Lonchura striata: one gene and its partners. The protein of the gene in region 1 binds, or shares a complex with, the protein of each later gene. Links are inferred from orthologs where the notes say so. Each region holds a gene or a part of one and is shown on either strand. Other genes may lie near its edges.

Evidence for each region.
Region 2: STX5 (region 1) and VTI1B share a complex: the UniProt entries of both Homo sapiens proteins name them as parts of the SNARE complex. The link is inferred for Lonchura striata from reciprocal best matches to the Homo sapiens genes STX5 and VTI1B.
Region 3: STX5 (region 1) and BNIP1 share a complex: the UniProt entries of both Homo sapiens proteins name them as parts of the SNARE complex. The link is inferred for Lonchura striata from reciprocal best matches to the Homo sapiens genes STX5 and BNIP1.

Annotation. Positions count from the first base shown.
Region 1 is NC_134638.1:358,663-366,727, reverse strand, and holds the start of STX5 (syntaxin-5), read right to left. Parts: upstream 3,038-8,065; 5' UTR 2,980-3,037; coding exon 2,917-2,979; intron 2,743-2,916; coding exon 2,669-2,742; intron 2,139-2,668; coding exon 2,083-2,138; intron 1,813-2,082; coding exon 1,742-1,812; intron 1,664-1,741; coding exon 1,547-1,663; intron 1,095-1,546; coding exon 1,038-1,094; intron 574-1,037; coding exon 498-573; intron 1-497. Other genes in the region: NAA40 (N-alpha-acetyltransferase 40), read right to left, coding at 4,455-4,484, 4,814-4,897, 5,824-5,866, 6,018-6,095, 6,790-6,873, 7,645-7,803. UniProt on the Homo sapiens protein: Mediates endoplasmic reticulum to Golgi transport.
Region 2 is NC_134608.1:32,868,664-32,876,452, reverse strand, and holds the start of VTI1B (vesicle transport through interaction with t-SNAREs homolog 1B), read right to left. Parts: upstream 3,064-7,789; 5' UTR 3,026-3,063; coding exon 2,911-3,025; intron 1-2,910. Other genes in the region: retinol dehydrogenase 12, read left to right, coding at 3,636-3,715, 4,345-4,463, 5,271-5,426, 5,709-5,813, 6,269-6,478. UniProt on the Homo sapiens protein: V-SNARE that mediates vesicle transport pathways through interactions with t-SNAREs on the target membrane. These interactions are proposed to mediate aspects of the specificity of vesicle trafficking and to promote fusion of the lipid bilayers.
Region 3 is NC_134617.1:2,453,892-2,461,594, reverse strand, and holds the start of BNIP1 (vesicle transport protein SEC20), read right to left. Parts: upstream 3,083-7,703; 5' UTR 3,062-3,082; coding exon 2,975-3,061; intron 2,885-2,974; coding exon 2,792-2,884; intron 2,581-2,791; coding exon 2,489-2,580; intron 1,729-2,488; coding exon 1,627-1,728; intron 964-1,626; coding exon 845-963; intron 1-844. UniProt on the Homo sapiens protein: As part of a SNARE complex may be involved in endoplasmic reticulum membranes fusion and be required for the maintenance of endoplasmic reticulum organization. Also plays a role in apoptosis.

The DNA of each region.
Region 1 (8,065 bases):
ATTCCAGTCGGAATTCCAAAAAATCCCCATCTCCCACCCGGAATTCCATAAAATCCCCATCTCCCACCCGGAATTCCACTTTTATCACCCAAATTCTAGTCTGAATTCCAAAAAATCCCCATCTCCCACCTGGAATTCCACTTTTATCACCCAAATTCTAGTCTGAATTCCATAAAATCCCCATCTCCCACCCGGAATTCCATAGATATCCCCATCTCCCACCCAGAGTTCTGCTTTTATCTCCCAAATTCCAGTCGGAATTCCAAAAAATCCCCATCTCCCACCCGGAATTCCATAGAAATCCCCATCTCCCACCTAGAATTCTGCTTTTATCACCCAAATTCCCTCTGAATTCCATAAAATTCCCATCTCCCACACAGAATTCCCCTTTTATCACCTGTAATTCCCCCAAAATTCCACAAAATTCCCATTTCCCACCCAGAACCCCCCCCAAAATTCCCTTTCCCCCCCGGAATTCCCAGGAATTCCTGGCTCACCGAGGTTGTTGGCGGCCAGGGCGGAGACGGGGGCGCGGGAGAAATGTTCCCGACGGCTGCGCTGCTGCTTCAGGTTCTGGGGCAAAACCAGGGGAAAATGGGGAAAAAGGTGAGAGAAAATGGGGGGGAAATGTGGAGAAAATGGGGGGAAAATGGGGAGAAATAGGGGGAAAAATGAGGGGGAGAAAGAGCAAAGAAAGGGGGAAAATATGGGGAGAGAAGAGAAAAATGGGGAGAAATTGGGAAAATGTGGAATAAGGAGAAGAACAGAATTGGAGAAAGAGAAGAAAAAGTGAGAAAGCAGCAGAAAAGTGAAAAAAAGAAAAGTGAAGGAAAAGGAAAAATCAGGAGCAGAAAAAAGCGGGAAAAGGATAAAAAATTGTAACAACAAGAACAAGAAAAAAAATGAGAAATGAGCAAAAAGGTAAAAATGGGAAAAGAGGAAGGGAGCGAGCAAAGAGAAAAAAGAAAAAAGAGGGAAAGGAAAAAAGAGGGAAAGGAAAAAAGAGGGAAAGGAAAAGCTGCAGCAGCCCCGCTCACCTCTGTCCGCACCTCCAGCACCGATTTGAAGTCGTTGGACATCGAGGCCAGTTTGGACTGGGGAGGGAGGGTGGGGGGTCACTGGGGGGCCCCTGAGCTCCCAAAACCCCCCAAAAAATCCCCCGAACACCCTCCAAAGCCGCCCCAAAAAATCCCCCAAAAAACCCCCAAAACCTCCCCAAAAACTCCCAAAGGCCCCCCAAAAACACCCCCCAAACCCCCCAAAAACCCCAACAAAACTCCCAAAAACCCCCCAAAACCCACCCAAAACCCCCATACCTCCCAAAAAAACCCCAAAACTCCTCTAAAACCCTCAAAAGTCCTAAAAACCCCCCCAAAACCCCAAAACCTCCCAAAAACCCCCCAAAGAAAACCCCAAAATCCAAAACCACCCCCAAAAAAACCCCCAAAAACCCATAGGAACCCCCTAAAAAACCCACCCAAAAATCCCCCAAACCCCCCCAAGAGTCCGAAAATCCCCCCAAAATCCCCCGAAGCCCCCGGCCCACCTGCAGGGAGAGCAGGACGCCGCTGGAGTGGCTCTGCAGGTGCCGCCCGCCGGGGCCGCGCCGCGCCCGCAGCAGCTCCTGCAGCGCCGCGATCTGCGCGTTCAGGCTGCCCATGTCCTGGGGGGCACGGGGGTCAGGGGCACCCCAAAACCCCCCCACAAAAACCCCCCAAAACCCCCCGACCCCCACCCGCACCTGTTTGATGATGTAGGTCAGCTCCTCGATCTCCACGGATTTGTCGTCGAACAGCGACTTGCGCTTGGCCACTGCGGGGGGGTCAGCGGGGTCACAGAGACCCCCAGAGACCCCCCAAATCCCCCCAGGACCCCCCAAATCCCCCAGAGACCCCCCCAAATCCCCCCTGAGACCCCCTAAATCCCCCCTGACACCCCAAATCCCCCCTGAGCCCTCCCAACTCCCCCGTGAGCCCCCAAATCCCCCCTGACCCTCCCAAAGCCCCCCAGAGACCCCCAAATCCCCCCAGGACACCCCCAAAGCCCCCCAAAGCCCCCCGGACCCCCAAGCCCCCCGCTCACGCAGGGTCAGCTTCTCCAGCTTGGCGAAGGTGTTGCTCAGGTCCTTCCCGATGCGCCTGGGGGGAGGGGGGGGCAGGGATTGGGGGGGGTCTGCAGACCCCCGCCCCAATTCCTCGGGACCCCCACCCACATCTGGGGACCCCCACCCCAATTCCCGGAGATCCTGACCCCAAATTCTTGGAGACCCCCACCCCAGTTCCTGCTGATCCTGACCCACCATACCCGGGGACCCCCACCCCAATTTCTGGGGATTCCAACCCCCAATTCCTGGAGACCCCCACCCCAATTCCTGGAGATTCCAACCCCCAGTTCTCAGGAACCCCCACCCCAATTCCTGCTGATCCTGACCGCCCACACTCGGCGACCCCTACTCCCAGATCCTGAGGACCCCAACCCCCAATTCCCAGAGACCCTGACCCCAAATTCCTGGACACCCCCGGCCCCATTCCGGGGGACCCCCACCCCAATTCGGGCTAATCCTGACCCGCCGTACCTGGGGACCGCCACCCCAATTCCCGGGGATCCCGAGCCCCGATTCCTGGGGGACCCCAACCCCGAATTCCCGGGTTCCCAGACCCCTCCTCACTTTGCCATCAGGCTGAACTCGCTGCGCGGCCGCCCCGGCCCGGGCCCGGCCCTGCCCGCCGGGAGCCCCCGGTCCTGGGGGGGAACCGGGGAAAACGGGGGGTCAGGGGGGACCCCCGGGATGGGGGGGGTGGGGGTTTGGGGAGACCCCCGGTAATTCCCGGGGGGTTTGGGGAGACCCCCCGGTAATTCCCGGGGGGTTTGGGGAGACCCCCGGTAATTCCCGGGGGGTTTGGGTGCCGGGGTCACCTGGCGGCCCTGCAGCGATTGGCAGGCGGAGAGGAACTCCTGGGTCCTGTCGCGACACGACATGACGTCGGCGGGCGGCGGCTCCGGGGGCGCGGGAGGCGCCGCCGCCGCCCGGGGGGGCGCCGGGGCCGCGCCCGGTTCGCGCTGCCTAGGCCCGAGCCGGCGGCGCGCCTGCATCGGGGCTCATCGCCTGCCCTGGGACACCGGCGGCACCGGTTACCGGCGGCGGAACGGGGCGCGCCGGGAGCCCCCCGCGAACCGGCGCCGCCCCGGAGCCCCCGAGGGGTCCCGGTGCCGCCCCTCCCCCCTCACCGCGGGCTCGGCCGCCGCCACCGGGAGGCTCCGGCCGCGCTGACGTCACTGCCACGTCCGTTCCGCCGGAAGTGCCGCCGGCACCGGAACAGAACTCCCCGGTACTTCCGGGAGGGGACGGGGAGAGGCCACGCCCCGGTGAGGGCGGGGATGGGAACCACGCCCGCTGAAACGGGGCCCGCCCACTGCAACGCCTCCCGCCGGCGGGGAATGGCGGGAACGGTATGCAAATGAGACCCCGCCCCCCAAACCGGAGCGGGAATGGCGGCCCCGAGCCCGGGGACACCGGGAGGGGCGGGGCCCCGCCCCCAGCAAAGAGTCCCGATTTGATTGGTGGAATTGATCTGCCCCAGCAACAGGCCCCGCCCCTAGCAACGAGCTGTGCCGCGATCTGATTGGTGGAATTGATCTGCCCTTGCATAAAGCCCCGCCCCCAGCAACGAGCTGTGCCGCGATCTGATTGGTGGAATTGATCTGCCCCAGCAACAGGCCCCGCCCCCAGGAACGAGCCCCCCCCCCCCCAATGGCGCCGTTCCCCGTGACGCCCCGGTGACGTCAGGGCCCGGTTCCGGTACGGCGGGACGGACACAGAGGCTCAGGCGGAATCCGCGGTTCCTTTATTGGGGCGGGGGGAGCGGGGAGGGTCCCATGGGCGGCGGCGGCGCCTCCCGCCGGTCGCGGCGCTGGTCCCGGTGCTCGCGGGGCTCCCGCAGCGGCTGGTCCCGGTGTGCGGCGGGCCCGCCTCACTCCTCGCGTTTGCGGTAGTCCTGGATGTGGCCCAGCACCCAGGCGGCGGGCCCGAAGATGGACACGAACACGGCGGCCAGGCCCAGCACGGTGTCCTGCGGGGACGGCGCCGTTAGAGCCGCGCCGGTCACCGGGGCCCGGCCCCGCCCGGGTCACCCCGCCCCCCCCCGCTCACCGCGGTGCTGACGGGGCTCAGCGCGGGCCCGGAGCGGAGCCCGCGCGGGGCCGGGCCCGGCCGGGCCGCGGCGCGCAGGACGGAGCGGGCGAGGAGGGCGGCGGGCGGCAGCATGGCGGCGGCGGCGCGCTCTGACGTCACTTCCGCCGCGCGCCGCTACGTCCCGCCATGGCCACGCCCCCTCGTTAACATAATTTATTCGTAGCCGCGCGAGTTGCTGCGCTGCTCATTAGCATAGCCCCGCCTCTCCCGCGCACGGCCACGCCCCCAGCGCAAGAGCCTCAATTGACGTTTATTTATTTATTTATTTATTTATCCCGTACAAACAAAACGGCTGAAAAAAAAAAAAAAGGAAAAAATAAAACAGAAATAGAAATAAAATAGAAATAGAAATAAAATAGAAATAGAAATAAAATGGAAAAAAAAAATAGAAAGAAAAAATAAAATAAAAATAAAGAATAAAATAAAAATAAAATAAAAATAAAATACGAATCCAGCACAAAAATCCCCCTCCCCGCCCAGCGCCGCGCCGCCGGCACGGGGGGAAGGGCCGTTTGTGTCACCCGCCCCGGGGGTCCCGCCGGGCGGGCGCGGGGCTGTTTTTGGGGGGCTCAGTGGCAGCAGCCGGCGCAGGGGCCCCCCCCGGGGTGGGGGTCCCCGAACCTGGTGCTGCGGCTCAGGATCTCGTAGGAGGAATCGTCCCCGCAGCAGCCGGACACGCTGGGGGAGGTGGCGTCCACCTCGAACCTGGGGGGACACGGGGGGGACACGGGGTCACCGCCACCCCCCTGAGCCCCAAGGATCCTTCCTGACCCCCCAAAACGCCCCCTGACCCCCAGAAACCCCCCGGGACCCCCTCCTTGTCACCCTGACCCCCCCACATCACCCCCCAGGCTGGCAGTGGGAGGGGATGGGAGGGGAAAGGCTGGGGGGGGGGAGCAGCACCCAAAAAAGGGTAAAAAACCCCAAAAATCAGAGGAGAAAGGGTTAAAAACCATCTGGGGAAAAGGGGTTGAAAGCCTGGGAAAATGGGTGGAAAACAAGCAAAAAATGGAAAAATGGAATAAAGGGAAATGTAAAATGTCCTTGGAAATTTGGGGTTAAAAATGCCAGATTTGGGTAACGGGAAGCAGAAAAAAGGTTGTGGAAATTGGTGGGAAAAGGGGAAAAACTTTTGGAAAAGTGGGTTAAAAAAGATGAAAAAGAAGCATGGGGGAAAATCTTGGAAAAGGGACTAAAACCTTGAAAAAAGGGTTTGTAAAATCCTCAGGAAAGGACCAAAACCCCCAAAAATGTGTTTAAAAAACTAACAGAGAGTTAAAATTATTTCTCTAAAACTAGGGAAAGAAAACATAAAATGAGCTTAAAATTCCCCCAGAAAAGGACCAAAACAACCCAAAAAATTAATATAGAACCTATAAATATAGGCTTAAAATAAATATAGAAAAGGATAAAAGCCTTGGTATAAAAAAATAGAAGGGAAAAGGGAAAAAATGTTGGAGAATTAGTTTCAAACAGCTGAAAAAAACAACTGCAAATGGGTTAAAATACCCAAAATGGGTTTTTTAAGGATCCAAAAGGGGATCCCAAACTGACAGCAAAATGACCAAAAACAGGGAAATTTTCCCCAGAATGGCCTTCGAAAGCCCCGAATTTGGGTCCCGAGCACCCACCTCTGTCTGTGCCCCTGCCCCGCCTGCCCGCGGCGCCCGGTCACTGCAACGACAGGGTGCCACAGCTGTCACAGCTGTCCCCGGTGTCCCCCCGTGTCCCCTCCCGGTGCCGGTGTTCCCGGTGTCCCCGGTATCCCCCGGTGTCCCCGGTGTCCCCCGGTGTCCCCCGGTGTCCCCGGTGTCCCCGCACTCACTGCAGCGCCTCGCGGAAGAACTGCAGCGCGCCGTGGTTGTGCTTGAACACCGTCAGCATCACCTTCTTCATCTGCGTGCTGCGGGCACGGGGCGCGGGTCACCCCAAAACCGGACTGGGAACCCCAGAACCGGACTGGGAACCCCAAAACCGCCCCAGGGAACCCCAAAACCGCCCCAGGGAACCCCAAAACCAGACTGGGAACCCCAAAAACCGGACTGGGAACCCCAAAAACTGCCCTGCATCAGCTCCAAAATGCCCTGGTTTCACCCCAAAAACCAGCCCCATGGTACCCCAAAGAATGCCCCGGTTTCACTCCAAAAGCTTCCCTGGTTGGGCTCCAAACTGCCCTGGTTTCACCCCAAAAATTGCCCCAGTTTCACCCCAAAAACCAGCCTGGTAGAACCCCCAAAACTGCCCCCGTGGAACCCCCAAAACTGCCCTGCTTTGGCTCCAAGCTGCGCCGGTTTCACCCCAAAAAACCGGCCCAGTGGCATTCTCAAAACTGCCCTGGGTTCACCCCAAAACACCCCCAGTTCCCCCCCAAACTGCCCCATTTCACCCAAACTCCCCCTGGTTCTGCCCCCAAACCTCCCCCAAACCCCATCACATCCCCCCCAAATCCCCCCGACACCCAGATTCCCCCAAAACCCCCTCCCTTCCCCCCAAATCCCCCCCAAACCCCCTCCATTCCCCACAACCCCTCCAGAATCCCCCAAAATCCCCATCAGTCCCCCCCAAACCCCCCCAGTTTCCCCCCAGACCCCTCTGACCTGTTGGCCACCAGCTGCAGGATCTGCAGCAGGAACTTGCCCAGCCCCCTCCTCCTCACCCGGCTCTCCAGCTGCACCTCATAGCTGCAGGAGGGACACCCCAAAAACCCCCTGAGACCGGGGAACAGACACCCCAAAAACCCCCTGAGACCAGGGAACAGACACCCCAAAACCCCCTGAGACTGGGGAACAGACACCCCAAACCCCCCCTGAGACCGGGGAACAGACACCCCAAACCCCCCCTGAGACCGGGGAACAGACACCCCAAAACCCCCCTGAGACCGGGGAACAGACACCCCAAAACCCCACTGAGACCCGGGAACAGACACCCCAAAACCCCCCTGAGACCGGGGAACAGACACCCCAAAACCCCCCTGAGACCCAGGAACAGACACCCCAAAACCCCCTGAAACCTGGGGATAGACACCCCAAAACCCCCTGAAACCTGGGGATAGACACCCCAAAACCCCCTGAGACCCGGGAACAGACACCCCAAAACCCCTTGAGACTGAGGAACAGACACCCCAAAACCCCCTGAGACCGGGGAACAGACACCCCAAAACCCCACTGAGACCTGGGAACGGACACCCCAAAACCCCCTGAGACCATGAACAGACACCCCAAAAACCCCTGAGACCATGAACAGACACCCCAAAACCCCCTGAGACTGAGGAACAGACACCCCAAAACCCCCTGAGACCCCAGGAACAGCCCCACAGCCACTGTGGTGTGGCAGTGACCCCAGAGCCGAGCCCCCCTCACCAGTACAGGACACCCCAAAACCCCCCCGAGACCCCAGGAACGGCCCCACAGCCACTGTGGTGTGGCAGTGACCCCAAATCCGAGCCCCCTCACCAGTACAGGACCTCGTCGCCGCACTCGACGTCGAAGCGGAAATGGGAGAAGGCGACGGGGCCGTGGCCGGGCTCGCGGGCCAGCAGGTACCAGGCGCGCTCGTCCCGCAGCTCCTCCCGCTTCTCCCGCTCCTTCCAGCCCCACTCGCTCTGCTCGTAGCTGGGCACGGGAAAAACGGGGCGTGGGGGCCGGGAAACGGGGTTTGGGGGGGAAAAAATGGGAGTTTGGGGGGTGGAAATGGGGTTTGGGGGGAGGAAACCAGAGGTTTTTGCCAGGGGATGTTGAGTAACAAACCCAGGGATTTGGGGGAACAAAACCCAGGTATTTGGAGGAAAAAGCCCTGGGGATTTGGGGGGAAAAACCCAGGGATCTTTGGGGAAAAAAACCCAGGGATTTGGGGGGGAAAAAACCCTGGGGATTT
Region 2 (7,789 bases), on another chromosome or scaffold:
AGGTTCTTAAATACACTCTCCTCAACTTCCTCCATGATTTGCATCATATACATTTGTGCTGATGCCATTGTTTGTGTAGCTGGGTTACAAATGAAACCATGGACATGAACTCTGGAAAAACAGCCTTTGGAAGTCAGTAATTTGTTTCATTCAGGTTATTTCACTAATCTGATTCAAGCAGTGCCCTCTTAAACCCACTTTGTTGTCTCAAAGTAATGGAAACCCATCAGAGATCTGGAAATGCAGCATTTCCTTGCTTTATTTCTCCTATTCAGAATAATAAGATGCTGCACTTATAAGCTGGCAGCCAAAGAAATGCCAGCTTCCAAAAGGCATAGAATCATGGAATGGTTTAGGTAAACCAAGCAGCTTGAGACCTTTTTGTCTACAGGCTAACAAGAAATCCAGCAATGTGGCTTGAAAACATTCTGCTGTATCTGGCTGGTATCCAGAAACACCAAAATATACCGAGAGATTCACTTGGTGTCGCTCTGCATTGAACCACAACTCAAAGCACAAGGACAGAACTCTAAAATGCAGCAGCAGTGCCTGTGCCACAGCAGCATCACCCACATGCTCATCAACATTAAACTAACTTATTTCCAGACACTTAGAAAGAGATTCAGTTGGAAAGTATAGCTAAGTGAATTCATGGAGAGGAAAATACATTATTTTAAACTTATCCAGGCTGCTTCCCCTTCTTACCAATTTGGATGGGGAAAAAAAGGGTGTTTCTAGAATTAGGAATTTGTCATCTTGTTTATATAGAATGAAACAGCATTTCCAAACCTCTGCCCCTCAAAGACATCCCAAGGACTATAGGTTCTGTGTTGCTCTTGGAGCATGTGAATTGCCTTAAAAGAGTATTCCAAGGTCTCTTTTATCACCTTCTGAATATTTTGGGATCAAATAACTCAAAAAATTAATATATACTCCCCTCCTCCTAAGTACAAGAAGCAAAGAACGAACATCAGGACAGTGGAATGACAAATTCCTAAATCTTAAACTCTCTTAGAAACACTTTAAAAGATAGTGCCAAGATTTTTGCAGGAAAAAAAAAAAAAAAAAGTAAAGAATAGAACAGTTGTCTTAAAATTCTGTAGCTTGTCTAAAAAAGTCAATGTGCAATTATTTGCAATCTCTTGAAAAAAAAATCCCAAGTATCACAAAAATAGTTGCCTGTAAATACTCCATTTAAACCCACATCTCAGAATTCACTGCTCATAACTACCACAGTGTCAAGCAGACTTGGTTTCACTTCACCAAGAAACTGATCATGCTCATTTCTATAGAGAAATAAGGATTTCTACCAGAAAACATATTGCTTCTTTTAAGCTTTTTATCCTTGTTGACCACTAGTGAAATTAAGTCAGGTTTGCAAATTGTCATTTGTGGGTTTCAACACCTTTCTTGTACCAAACTTCCTGAAAATGCTGATGCCAAGGACTGTGACCCTGAACTTAACTCATTAAACAGAAAGTCAGGTAAGAAACAGAGCCCTTCGTGCTCTGTGTTATCTAGTGCAGACTGGTATGTTCTGAACAAAGTGTTCTTATGATTTTACACAAAACTGATCAATTGCGGGAGAATGAACACTGCAGGAGAACGTGACTGACAGTCCTTGCTCATCACTGGGGTAGAAAACCTGAGCTGAACTACAGCAGCTCGTAACAGCCACAGATTACATTTCCCATAGGAAGGGTTCAATCAGAGGCATTCAGTGACACTGGCAAAATTCTCCTTGTCACATTGCTTCCCTTTCTGGTTCTCAGAACGCTGCCAAGTATCAAGATTGCATCAGAAGCACAGATCCTTACAGAGGACTGCTCTGTGAGAGCATGTTACCAGTGGTGTGCTATAAAGAATACCGGTGAAAACAGGTTGTGCTTCTAATACAACTTAGTGTGGCTAGAGTGATAGGTTTTCAATATTTTCTGAGTACATACTGCATAAACCAGACTTTTAAAACAATCATTTCAAATGCAAACATTCTCCAACAAATCTACAGACGTTTCTGGGAAGTTCTGCCAATAAAAACTGCTTCTATTTCTGCCAATGAGGTTTTAATTGTGAATCCAACATAGCAAATTAAAAAAAGGGGGGACAAGAACCCCAAACCCCCAAAGCACTGCAGTTGTTATAGAATCAATTTAGCTGGAAAAGACCTTTGCAGTCATTGAGTCCAACCTGACCTAACATTACGCTGTCAACTGGACCATGGCACTGAGTGCCACATCCAGTCTTTCCTTAAACACCTCCTTAAACTCCACCACCTCCCTGGGCAGCTCATTCCAATGTCTAATCATGCTTTCTGTGAAGAAATTCTTCCTAATGTCCAACTTTAACCTCTCCTGGTGCAGCTCAGGTCTGTGTCCCCTTGTCCTGTCACTGGTTGCCTGCGAGAAGAGGCCGAGCCCCACGGCTGCAGCCTCCTTTCAGTGGTGTGGAGAGTGAGGGGGTCACCCCTGAGCCTCCTGTTCTCCAGGCTATACTCCAGTTCAAACAGAAACAGCATGAAAGAGCGTCCAAAGAAGGGCTCCTCCTCAGAGACGGATGCCGTGAGCCTAGCACGGCAGCGCTTGCCAGCGGAGTTGAAATTTGCCAGAGCCGAGGAGCTCCAGTGGAGCGAAGCCACACACCTGCAAGGCCACCAGGACATGGCAGCAGCTGAGAACGACACAGGGCAGCGCCACCCGCCTCCTCCCAGCGAGCGCCTACCAGGAGCGACGTCCCCAGCCCCTAGAACCGCAAAGCCCCCCACACAGAGTCCTGACGGGACGCTGCCCTCCCCGCTGCTCAAACGCGCCTGTCTGACGAGAAGCACCCGAACGCTCCCGCCACAGCCCCGCAGCCGGCCGCGGCGGCCCCGCCCGTGCCTCGAGGAACGCCCACTCCCCCTGCCCGCCTCACCGGCCGCACTGCCCCGCAGCCGCTCGGGGACGCCCCGCAGGTCTCCGTGCAGCCCGCGGAAGATCTCGTGCAGCCGCTCCAGCTGCTCCGAGGACGCGGCCCCGCGGCCCGCCATGGCCCCGCGCCCCCGGCCCTGCCCCGGCAGGCGCTTCCGCCGCCGGGGCCGCCTCGCGCACTGCCTGCTGGGAGCTGTAGTCCCGGGGAGGCGGCCGTGCCCGCACCCCGCGGGGGCGCTCGTCCGCCGCCGCCACGGAGCGCCCCGGGCCGGCAGCGCCGGTGCGGCCCCGGGGCTCCCCGGTACCGGCGTGACCCGCCGCCGCCGCGCTGCCCCCAGGCCTGGACGCCTGCCCACGTGCACATCGGTGCACGCTCCTTGCCAGGGTTCATGACATGAGCCTCGGCGTGGGGTTGTAAAAATGTGCTTCAAACGCCACTGCCGACAGCCGCCACTGCGCTGTCCCTGGAGACATTTCTCGCTCCTTAATTGCGGACTGCGTTTCAGAATGTTTCGCGGGACCCAGGTCGGAGTACTGTGGTTCCGGGGCAAAAAGCAGCGGGCCGCCCGCGTACCTGCGGGCAGGGCCGGCGGGGGCGCGGTGCGTGCGGAGGTGTGGCGGTACGGGTGTGGGCGAGGCCAAGCGGGCGGGGCGGAGGCGGATCCGAAAGGGAGGGGCGCGGGCTGCCGGAGCCGTGCGCTGGCGGTGCGCGGGTAGCTGGCGGCAGGGATGCTCAGCTGCTGGGAAGCCGCGCTGGGCGCCGCCGTCTCCGTGCCCGTCTTTCTTTTCGTGGCAGCGCCCTACATCAGGTGCGTCTTACCGAGCGCAGCCCCTGCCCTTCGCGTGTGTTCCGCCCCGCAGGGCGGCGCCCGTTGGGGCGCGGAGCTGGCGCGCTTCGCGTTTCTTGCGTGTGTGTCTGTGTGAGTGCGGCGGGAGTGCGAACAGCGGGAATCCCGCGCTGGGGTCGGAGTTATTCAGGCCTGCCCGCTCCAGCGCCCCGGCGACACAGCCGCGCTGCCGGGGCTTTCCCGGGGCTCGCTCGGCCCTGGCACCGCCGGTGCTTTCCCCGGGCTCCCTCCGGGCGCCGGCGCGCTCGCGGCGGCGCGGCAGGGGGCGGGGCCCGCGTTCTCCTCAGGGCGCTGCGGCGAAGCCCATTGGCCAAAAGGCCTCGAGGCGCGCGGCAGCAGCCAATGGGAGCCGTGGCTCCACTTGACGCACGGATGGGGCGGGGCCGCGTCGGGAAAGCGCGGGGGATCGGGGGTGGGGCGCGTTCCCGGTGTCCCGATCGCGACAGGGCCGTGACCAGCCGCTTCAGGCGAGGGCGCCCGTGGCTCCCTGGGGTGAGCCCGAAAATTGATGCGAACCCAGGTTCTGGGTGCTCAACCCCGGACGGGGCATGCTGAGCAGGCAGAGGTGACTGGTGCCTCCCCTCTTGCAGGCGGTATGTCGCTGGAGGACGGTGTAAGTCGACAGCAAGGTTGGAGGGGAAGGTGGTGATAATCACGGGAGCCAACACAGGCATCGGGAAGGAGACCGCCAGAGACCTCGCAAAAAGAGGCAAGTGCAGTCTTGTCAGCACGTATGCCTCTGCAGCCGGAGTGGCTGTACCTTGTGCCAGTAGCCCCTTTTCTGGACCTAAGGAAGAGGTGTTGTAGGCTTATATTGAAGTAAACTGGATTCCAGAGTTACTGCAGATGAGCCCAAGTGCTGTTCCTTCCGAGGCTGTAACCACTGAAGTGCAGGTTTCCAGTTCCTTAACTGGGAACTTTTCATTGCTTGGACTCCAAAAATGTGCCTTGGGGACATAAAAATGCGTTGCATTGCAACTGATTGAAGGGGACTGGGGAAGTTCCTGGATTCTGCTTGTAGGAAGCTGAGAAATGCCATAGGTCCACCACTATGTGCTTTAGTTATTCATGTTTCAAGCTAATTTGATGCAAATGTTATTTGGCTAACTAGTAAGAAGATTAAACTACCTGTTCACAATCCATTTAGAAATTACTCTGGCTGGAATCCATGACCTTTATGTGCTCCTGGCTTGATGTTCCCATTATAGGGGCAGATACAATGCTATCATACCAGTGTTGTATGCATTCCTGACCTGGGAGAACATGGACAGAGGCACTTAAGATGTGTATTTGCCTAGTCTGAAATCATCTTTCAGCAGGACTGTAGCTCACACTTGAGTGGGGAAAGCTTTGTCCCTTCCAGCCATCCCCCTGACTGATGCTAGTTCCCTAAAGAAACAGTATATTGTTTGTAATTGCTGGGCATGGTCAGCCTGCTTGCCATAGCCTTGATCATCCAGTGTGCTCCAGTGATCTCATCTTATGTTCCTGTTGTTCCCCCCTCCCCTCCTTGCAGGTGCAAGGGTAATTATTGCCTGCAGAGACACAGCAAAGGCAGAAGCTGCAGCCAATGAAATCCGAGCTGAGACAGGGAACCAGCAAGTTATTGTGAAAAAACTGGACTTGGCTGATACGAAGTCCATCCGGGAGTTTGCTGAGAGATTTCTAGCAGGTAGAGTCTCTAGATTCTTATTTTTAGTGGGAGTATTTTACTAAGGACTGCTGTCTGTTCTTCTAACCATTGCCAAAGCCCTGTCCTGCTTGTCTCTGTACCTCTTGGGTACTGTGGTTCATAGCAGGGGCTGGTCAAAGGCCATGAGCTAGTTTGTGGTAGGAGATATATCCTTTTTTTAAGGTGATGTGGCTGCAAGTCAGACAACAAGGGGTGAGTTGTACTACCTTCTTGTCTGCATTCTCTGTTTCCTTGTTTAAAGATATTTGTTGTTTCTTGCAGAGGAGAAGGAACTCCATATTCTCATTAATAATGCTGGGGTAATGTTATGCCCTTACTCCAAGACTGCTGATGGCTTTGAGATGCATCTGGGAGTCAATCATCTTGGTAAGGCTAGTGGAATCATGTTTGCACTGAATATGGAACCATAGAATCGTCAAGTGATTTGGGTTGGAATTGCCCTTAAAGATCATCTTCTTCTAACATCGATATCTATAGCAAAATGCCAAAGGAAAATCCTTTTGGATTTTCTCTTCCTCATTCTTCCTTTTACTGGGATGATGGAGGGTCAGAGTCAGAATTCTGGAGATGCAATGTGATGTGTTTGTGCATTGTGGATCTGTATGTGTTACCTGGGACATTTTGAAATGTATGATGGCTACAGCTTTTTGAAGATGAAGAGCAGAACCTGAAGGCCCCAAAAAAAGTGTAGATGTCAATTCAGGGGAATTTAACAGAAATTTTCTTTTTCCTGGACTTGAAATGAGGACAGCAGTAAGGTACCACGTAGAAGCAAGCAGGGGAACCCTTTCTAGAAGGATGACCTTTCGTCTCCCCCCTAGGTCACTTTCTCTTGACTTTCCTCTTGCTGGAGCGTCTGAAGCAGTCTGCCCCAGCCCGCATCGTGAACGTGTCCTCGCTGGCTCACCACGGAGGCCGAATCCGCTTCCATGATCTCCATGGTGAGAAGAGCTACAATCGTGGCCTTGCCTACTGTCACAGCAAACTGGCAAACGTGCTCTTCACCCGGGAGCTGGCCAGGCGGCTGCAAGGCAAGTCCCGGGGGCAGGTGGGGTGTTTATCTGCTTGGCTTTCTGAGCACCATGATGGGGAGACTGGATTGAAGAAAGAGCTGCAAATTGTCTATGCAGAAATTGAATGGTTTGAGGCAAATGTCACTGAGAGCTCTTTGCAGGAAGAAAATATCTCCTGTCTGTGGAACCAGTAGACTTACAACACAGATTGTCTCTACAGCAACAGGGTAGAGTTTAGTAGCTTGGCACAGTTGAATGTATCTCATTGTTCTTTGGTGTTTGTCAAAAACTAGCTGCATCCACAGAGACAATTGTAGTATGTGGATGGAAGCTGAAAACAGCCACAACTGCAGTCTCCAATAGAAAAGCTAATGCACACTCAGCTGCCTTAAATGGTGGTGGCCCGTAGAACAAGCATAAGATTAGATAGTACCTTGCAAGTCACAACATCTGTCACAGTCGTGTCATTCAGTCCTGTTCATAAACTTAAGTAATACTGATTTACTACAACAGAAGTAGTGTCTTCCCCAGGAAATTACTATTAGAGTAAGTCAAAAGAGGCAGGTGTTCTCAAAAGCCTGCTGGAAACTGCTGCTGGTTTAGCACTCAGACCCTCTAGCACTTTGTTTTGCAGAAGGCACATAATGACTCCTGTGTTTAGAAGGGAGCAGGGGATGCTCCTCATCCAGTGCCATGGATGAGTGATTTAAACTGCTTCAAGAATCGCCATCAAAGGTATTAGCAAAAGTGGTTTTAACCTGATGTCATAAGAGGGTGACTTAAAGTATGATGGCAAGGTTCAGTCTATTATTTACGTGGAAGACACATGCAAAGGAAAACTGATTTAGAATTAAATTAGAATGATTCACACAGGACTGGAAACACACTGTGTAAGGAAGACCCTCCTGATGAATCGTGAGGCTCAGCATGGAGCCCCATGCTTTTTAAACTCCTTAGGGAGCCTATGTCCAGTTTGAGTCTCAGATTTGGACGATTTATATGTATACCAAGTTTCTGTAATTATTACTGAGCAGCTACATGGACTAGTAATGTTTCCTCAATATTAATTCAGCAGTCTTTACCAAGGATTTATTGCAAGCAAAGGGCCTCTCTGCCTTGCTTAAGGAAGGCTCTCAGTCTCAGGTAAGAAATCTCAAACCTTGAGAGGTGCTTCTGCTCCAGGGGAGAGTTAACCTGCTGTGCAGTCCAGTTGCAGTCTGAGCTGAGGTTCAGCTGGACTCATCCAAAGATTTGCTGTTGGTAAAAGCTCTCTGCCTTGAGGAGCAGCCTTGAGAGGTGAGCCAGCTCAAGTGAAGACTGTCACCCTGC
Region 3 (7,703 bases), on another chromosome or scaffold:
TTAACTCAGAATTTGCAGCTGGGTTTTGTAAATGACCTTTGGTAGTGTTTCCCTTGATGAATTCCAAGTGCTGTTCATTCAGAAACAGGGTGAAAAAGTGCCTGCCAAACTGTCCTTTTAATGGGAGAAGGAACATGCTACTCCTGCAGCAACAAACTGTGCCCAGCTGCCACCCTCGGATGGGGCAGAAAGCAAGGAGGGCAGACTTGTGTTATCTGTCCTTGTCTTTACAGTTCCCTCCTGCCCAAAAGCACAGCCAGGAAGAGGCCCAGGCAGCAGCTCCTGAATGCTCCATGAATCACCAGTTCTGACAGGTCCCTTGATTTATTGTTTTAGGAGTCCAAGCCAAGGAACTGGGTGAAATCTTGGTTTCACAGTCCCTGATGCACTGCTGACAGAGCAAGTGACCTCAGGTTCAAGGCACTTGATCTCGGTGTCTCAGCCATCCCAGCTGGAGCCTGGCTGGAGCAGCCCTGCAGACACTCCTTCCTCCACGCAGGGATTTGTATCCATGCTTTTGATTCCTCTGCTGTCCCCAAATCCCTGCCAGGACAGTGGCACAGAGTAGCACCGAACACACTCTGGGCACTGCGTGAGCTCAGTTTGCTTTTACAAGAAACTCAACCTCATCCTGACCCCTTTTGCCTCTCACGCTCATGAAACAGAAACTCCACACAAAGCACACTGATATTTCCTGTTTATGTCCAGCTGTTAGAGGAGTTCTGCTGGCCAGTCCTTTAATCACCATTGTAGCACATTCTCCTCCTCTGCTCCTCTCCCCAGGCTGACAGAGCTGACCAAAGGTGCTTCCATCACCCCCTCCATGCCCAAATTCCAGCTGTACCTAAGGTCTGCACAGTCTCCTCGCTCTGCTGCACCTGCTGGGACATCATCCTGCTGATGCCCATCAGACTCTCTGTGATGTTGCTTGCACTCTCTGCCAGACTTTCCTTTGTGGTCTTCCTGAAAAGAGAAAAAAGAAAAGCAGGAAGAGGTAAAATTATCTTTTTGGGTGCTCTGGGAAAATGCTGCTGATAGGGAGATAAGGCCAATACTTGGCACTAAAGATCTCTGCATTGTACAAAAGACACAACTGGTTTTCACTGCATGAGAAATTCAGATTATTTTCACTAAACAATAAAGTCTTGAGCCCAAACAACAGCTCAGAATCTCACAGGGCCTGTACTTCACCACTTGCTCACCCAGGACTGTGTAATTCCTTTATGGGAGCACCAACACAAACCCATTTTATCATCCTGAATATCCCAGCTGTTGCATTCAATACAATACACAGCCTGCACACACTCACACCCAGTTCTGGATGTGAAAACAGCTTGGATAATGACCCAGTTCTTGTGTAGAACCTATCTGGAATTAATGTAAAAGACAATATGTAAAGCTATGAAGGTTAATTTATCCCCTTTTCTGCTTAGACATGCCAATGCCAAGAGAACCTGAATTCATCACTATCCTTAACAGCCCAAATCTCCAGAAATGGGAAATGCATTCACAAAAGAAAACCTACACATGATATAATTAAAAAAAAATTAAAATATGATGTCCATTTAAAATGAGTGAATATAGGAGACACTGCTTGTCCCACAGTACAGTGGGACAGTCCAATACCTTTGTCTTAAGATGTCTCGTCCCTGCAGCAGCTGATCTTTCTCAGAGTTGTCAATAGCAATTTTGCAGGCCAGATTTGCCTTTCTCCAGGCTGCCTGGTTGCTGAAATCACAAAAGCAGAGTGTTGTAATGCGATGGGAACACCTTGCAAGCACAGACAGTTTTCACAAAGCAGCCACCACTGTAAGTGGTGCAAGGGCCCTCAGAATGCAAGAAATACTCGGGCTGGAAAATACTTCCAACATCATCAAGTCCCAGCTGTGCCCCATCCCCACCCTGCCCCAGCCCACAGCACTCAGTGCCACCTCCAGCCCTTCCTGGGACACCCCAGGGATGGGATCCAAACCTGCCTGAGCAGTTCCAGTGCCTGAGCTCCCTTTCCATGGGGAAATTCCTGCTGTGCCCACCCTGAGCCTGCCCTGACCCAGCCTGAGGCTGTTCCCTCTCATCCTGGATGTCCCCCTGGCTGTCCCCTCCTGTCAGGAGCTGTGCAGAGCCACAAGGTCCCCCCTGAGCCTCCTTTTCTCCAGGCTGAGCCCCTTCCCAGCTCCCTCAGCCCCTCACTTTCTCTATTCCTACACATAACAAAAACATTCTATTCTGACATTCCCACTCCTCAGTGCAGCACTTAAGGACCAAGAGAAGAAGAAAACTGCCAGCTGTCAAACAACAGATTCCAAAGCCGCCTTCTTTGAGCTCAAAGGGACAGAGCAGAGCCAGGAAGTCATGGCAGGAGAAGGGAGTTAGTTACACCCTTTCTGTCCCTTTGCTCCTGGTCTGGGCCAAAACACGTGTCAGTGTGTGTGTGCTTCCAAACTCAGAGGCTGCACCAAAGCCGGCCAAGCTCCGGGGCCAGACCCACCTGAGCATTTGCTTCTTGTGGCTCTCCACCTCCCGCAGCAAGGCTTGCTTCTCCGACTCCTTGTCCTGCTCCTTCGCCATCTGCTCCAGCTCCTTCGGCGGCGAGCACAAACACCAGAACCTCACCAGCCAGCCGCGCAGCCCAGCCCGGAGCAGGTTTATGTGACAAACCCCAACCCAGGACGGCGACTCCCAGATCTCGGCCGGGACCCCCAAACCCAAGGCCGGGATCCCCAGAGCCCGGCAGGCACCCACAGCCGGGGGGCCCAGCCCGGAGCCCCCGGCAGCCGCGGCCGGGCCTCACCTGGATGCGGCCGCGGAGCTGTCGGAACTTCTCCTTCACGGCGGCGTTGAGCTCCGTGAGGGCGCTGAGCGGCCCCGGGCAGTCCCGGATGTCCTGGAACACAACGGCGCGGTCAGCGCGGGCCCGGCTCGCCCCGCGGCCGTGCCGGGGTGTCACGGGGTGTCCCGGGGCTGGCGGCGGTACCTGCACGGCCGCTTTGATCTCCAGGTCGAACTTGACGATCTCCTGGTGACAGACCCGCAGCGGCACCGCCGCGGCCGCCGCCGCCATCTTGGCCGGGCCGGGCGGGGCCGGGCGCCCCCTGCGGGCGGCGGGCGGGACGCGCGCAAAGAGGGACGTGGCGGGCCGGGCCGAAGGGATCCGATCCCATCCGATCCCATCCGATCCCATCCGACCCCATCCGATCCCATCCGATCCGACCCGATCCCATCCGATCCCATCCGATCCCATCCGACCCGAACAGACCCGATCCGATCCCATCCGATCCGACCCGATCCCATCCCATCCCATCCCATCCCATCCCATCCCATCCCATCCCATCCCATCCCATCCCATCCCATCCCATCCCATCCCATCCCATCCCATCCCATCCCATGGCTGGGAATGTGCTGCTGCGCCGTGGGGATGGATGAACAGCAGAATTCCAGGATCACCGAGGTTATAAAACACCTCTGAAACCCATTGAATCCAAACTGTGATCCCCACCCTGTCCCCAGCCCAGAGCACCCACTGCCACCTCCAGCCCTTCCTGGGACACCCCAGGGATGGGATCCAAACCTCCCTGGGCAGTTCCAGTGCCTGAGCTCCCTTTCCATGGGGAAATTCCTGCTGTGCCCACCCTGAGCCCATCCTCACCCAGCCTGAGGCTGTTCCCTCTCATCCTGGATGTCCCCCTGGCTGTCCCCTCCTGTCAGGAGCTGTGCAGAACCAGAAGATTCCCATGGAAAAGTTCCAGGTTTACACCCAAGAGCCTCCTCGGGTTCCAGGCCAGGCTGACTGGTCAGGAGCAGGGTGGGGAACACGAGCTCTGCAGCCCAGAGTGAGAAGCAGGGCAATGGTGAGCACGTTTCTCTCCCTCTCAGGATTTTTCACAGAAATGTTCTCACCACAGCAATGCCCTTCGCTTTTCCCGGCGCCGAGTCCTTCCCTGCTGCCCCCAGACCCACGGGACTGCAGCAGCAGCTTCCCCAGGCACTAACCCGGGCTCTCCACATGTCCCCAGCGAGCCAGCAGCGCTGCCAGGCAGCTCTGAGCATGAGGAAGCACAAACCAGACATTCCCTTACCCACCTGTCACCCATTCCAAAGGAAACTTCCTGGAAACACCACACCTAGCACTAAGTTCAAGGCAGCAGAAGCCACTCCCTATCATTCCACACACACAATGATTCCGGACAGTATTTCCTCCACAATTTTTATTTTAAATTACAAAGGATGTTGCATACATTGATGAATTTGTATCTGAATAGAAGTGCTAGGGATCAAGGGTGACAGAGTAAACAAAGTCAATAGTTTAATTGTGCCTCTTTTCAAAAAAATAAAACTGCACAACTATTAACCAACATTTAACATTGCAACTCTTAACAGATCATGCTTTGAACAAGGTAAATTTATTTTCTAACAGAGACAAGACTTTCAGTATGTTTTACTGAGCTCCAGTTGGAAGTTGATTATAGAATATCAAGGACAGCATTACAATCATGACCCCAAGCAAAGGCAGAACAGGATGCCATGTTTTGTTTAAAATGCTTTTTTTTTTTTTGCATCTTCATGTGCCATCAGCCTTAAGAGTTCACCCAACTACAAATACTGAGCAAGTTTTCCTTGGATATATAATATTCTGGGAAGATAGATGATTCCAATCAGAATGCATGAATATCCATCATTACAAGAGAAATTAAAATTAAGTTTTCTTACTAGGTTCTGTTTCCTAATCAGATTTTGATAGGGTGGGATGTGCTTTTTCCAATATCAAATCTAATCTGTAAGTTTTCCCTACAGTAGTAGTTAAGTCACCCAATTTGACTTTAAATATACTCAACTAAAAATTACTTTAAACTCTAGAAAAACTCTGAATTGTGACATTATCTAAAAAGCTTGAAATTTTGTTTTTTTTTTTAATGGGGGAAACAAAAAAATGCAAGTGTGGCTTCAAAGAGCTCTGGTTCCACTTTTAGCTCCACAGCTTGGTAAAAAACAATAAATTCAGAGTCAGTATTTGCTCCCATGGAAGTTCATGGATGTCTAAGAGGCTGAGGATTATATCCAGAGTGCAAAGACACCTTCTCGAAGCACTGGAGGGAAAACATGGCATATTGTGAAATGCAAGTTGTAGAAAGACAGAGATTTTTGTTTGCTGCAAAGAAGATACAGCCTGAAAGTGCCATCTTTGATTAATGACATCGAAGAAATCCCAATTTACATTGGGAGATATTCAAGAGTGGCGTTTTCTCAACAGACTAATGCCCTTAATACAGTTACAAGAAGGATCAGTCACTGAGGCAGCAACTGTTTGAAATGTACTTCACACCATCCCTGGGGTAAACAAAATAAACCTCAGCTGTGTGCAAGGCTGTGTCAACAAGCCAAGACCACATCTAGCAGCACACTCCACTAGGTGATTCCAACTTCAAAGGAAAACCAAATCATGCTTAGATGCACTCTTGAAACTCGGGTCTCAAGGCCAAATACAGATCCTGACATTCACGGTCCAGAACTGGCTTGTGCCTCAGCAGAATTTCAGGAAGACGAGCAAGCACGTTTGAGGAACAGGACTGCATTTGCTATTTCTGCTGGAGGCAGCTTGGATACAACCCTTGGAAATTCTCCCAATAAAACCCTTCAGAGCTTCTTTAAAATAATAATAAAAAAAAATTGCTATGTTTAAATGATTTATGGAAAAGCACATCCAGTCATTATAGCTGTGAATAAGCTGTTTCATTAATGAAGGCAAGATAAATATTAGATAAATATTGGGGGGTGTCTTTTAAAAATAAATTTTAAACTGACACCTCTACATTTCCAAAGTGTCTGTTTGCTTTTAGGTTAGTTAAAAGACCTTTCAACCATTTTAGGTTGGTTTGTTGTTTGTTTGCTTTTTTTTAAAAACCCCAACTTTTCCCTGGCCCTCTTAGTACGGAAAAAAGTCAACCTATAAATTAGGAACTGAACACAGCTGAGCCTGACTCTCACATCAGCTTTACAGCAATACAACTTTATTAAATCACAATGATTTCAACTGGTATGATAAGAAAATCCAGCCCATCCACACGTAAACACAGCTTTAGTAGTAAGTCTCTCTCATCCCAAAAAACATAAAGCACTCACCAAATATCAGTAAATGTGTTCAATAAACCATAAAAGTAAGCGTTAGCAAAAGGGGTTTTGGGTTTAAAAACACCCTTCAGGAGCACCCCCACGTTTTGCAAGGCCATTCAAAAACTGGTCTTCCATAGAAATACAAAAGGACTAGAGAGAGAAACTGAAATCAGCCCTGTCTGCACTCGCTCCAGCACGCTTCAATCAGCTCTGACTCCACCTCAGAAGCTTTGACGAGTTCAGAGGGAATGAAAAACACTTAGTTTCTAGATGTACAAGTAAGGCACAATATAAAGCCACATCATCATCTGTCATGAAGGGAGGGGAAGGACGAGGGTCATACATGGTACAGCAGAACAAGCAGCCCATCGATTCCAAGTGTGGCACCTACGTTCAGACTGACGAGATCTCGACAAGAGCAGTTATGACAGCATGCTTTTAATATGGAAACAAATCCTAGAGAATCCAGTGTATCAGAAAAAGGAAGAGCTTTCTGGTTGTATTAAATCAAAAAATAGATCATTGTTTTTGGAGATAGGATTAAAAGTGAATATTCACAATGCCTACACTCAAAAACAAACAAAACAAAAAACCCAGGATTTCGTTAAGATCCACATACTATGTATGAACACTGAAAATCTTTAGAAAATGGTCTTCTCTAAAGATCACCCCAAAACGCATGCCACAATTGCCAAAAAACAGAACATGTACATATGTTGGTTTTTATACCCTTATAAGATTTTTGTTTGTGATAAGTATACACTAAATGTATATATTTTAATGACACTAGAGGAAGCAGATTGTTACTGGCATTAAAGTACAACCATTTCTAGACGGTTTAAATGCCACAGAGTCCCCTGGTTAAAATGTAAAGCTGCACAGCTTGCCTATGTCACCTTTATGATAAAGTTAAACCAGCAAAAGGTCTTATCTTTACTCTACATTTTACTGCCAGGTTTTATTTATCTCAAGTATCGCTGCAGCATTCTGACCAGCCCAGAGTTAGCAGCAAGTGGCAGGAATCATATAAAACGCAGTTTCTTTTTTTTTTTTTCTTTTTCCTCTTTTTTTTTTTTAAACAAAGTGCTTTTCTAAGATATACATACATATAAATAGTTACAAAATAAAGTGTCAACATTAAAAAGCTCAACTATTTCAAAGCTTTAACTTAAAATAATACATAGGAAACACTGAAATGCAAGGGTATGGAACTCACTAAAGATTCAAAGTCTACTTTGAAATGCGAGACCAAAATCATAGTCTGGTTTTCAGACAAAAAGAAAAAGCTATAAAGTTGTGTGTTGCCCAGGATTCCCAGGTAGCAAAATAAGTGGGGCGGCTTTTAAACGCCTTGTCAGTTGAATTTGTCCCAGAAGTTTTTACCTGATTTGAAACTGCTCTCTCTCAATGCTCAGATGCTGCCTCGCCCGCAGGGTTTGGGTGGAGCACAGGGACAAGCTCTGAGTGCCAGCCCTGCTCGGTTACAGCCTGCACCTCACAGGACACATTCTCTCTTGGGGTTTTTGGGGCCCTGGGCAGCTCCACAAGAACAAGAGGAATACACCAGACCCACTGTGGAAAGCAGCAGCCAACTC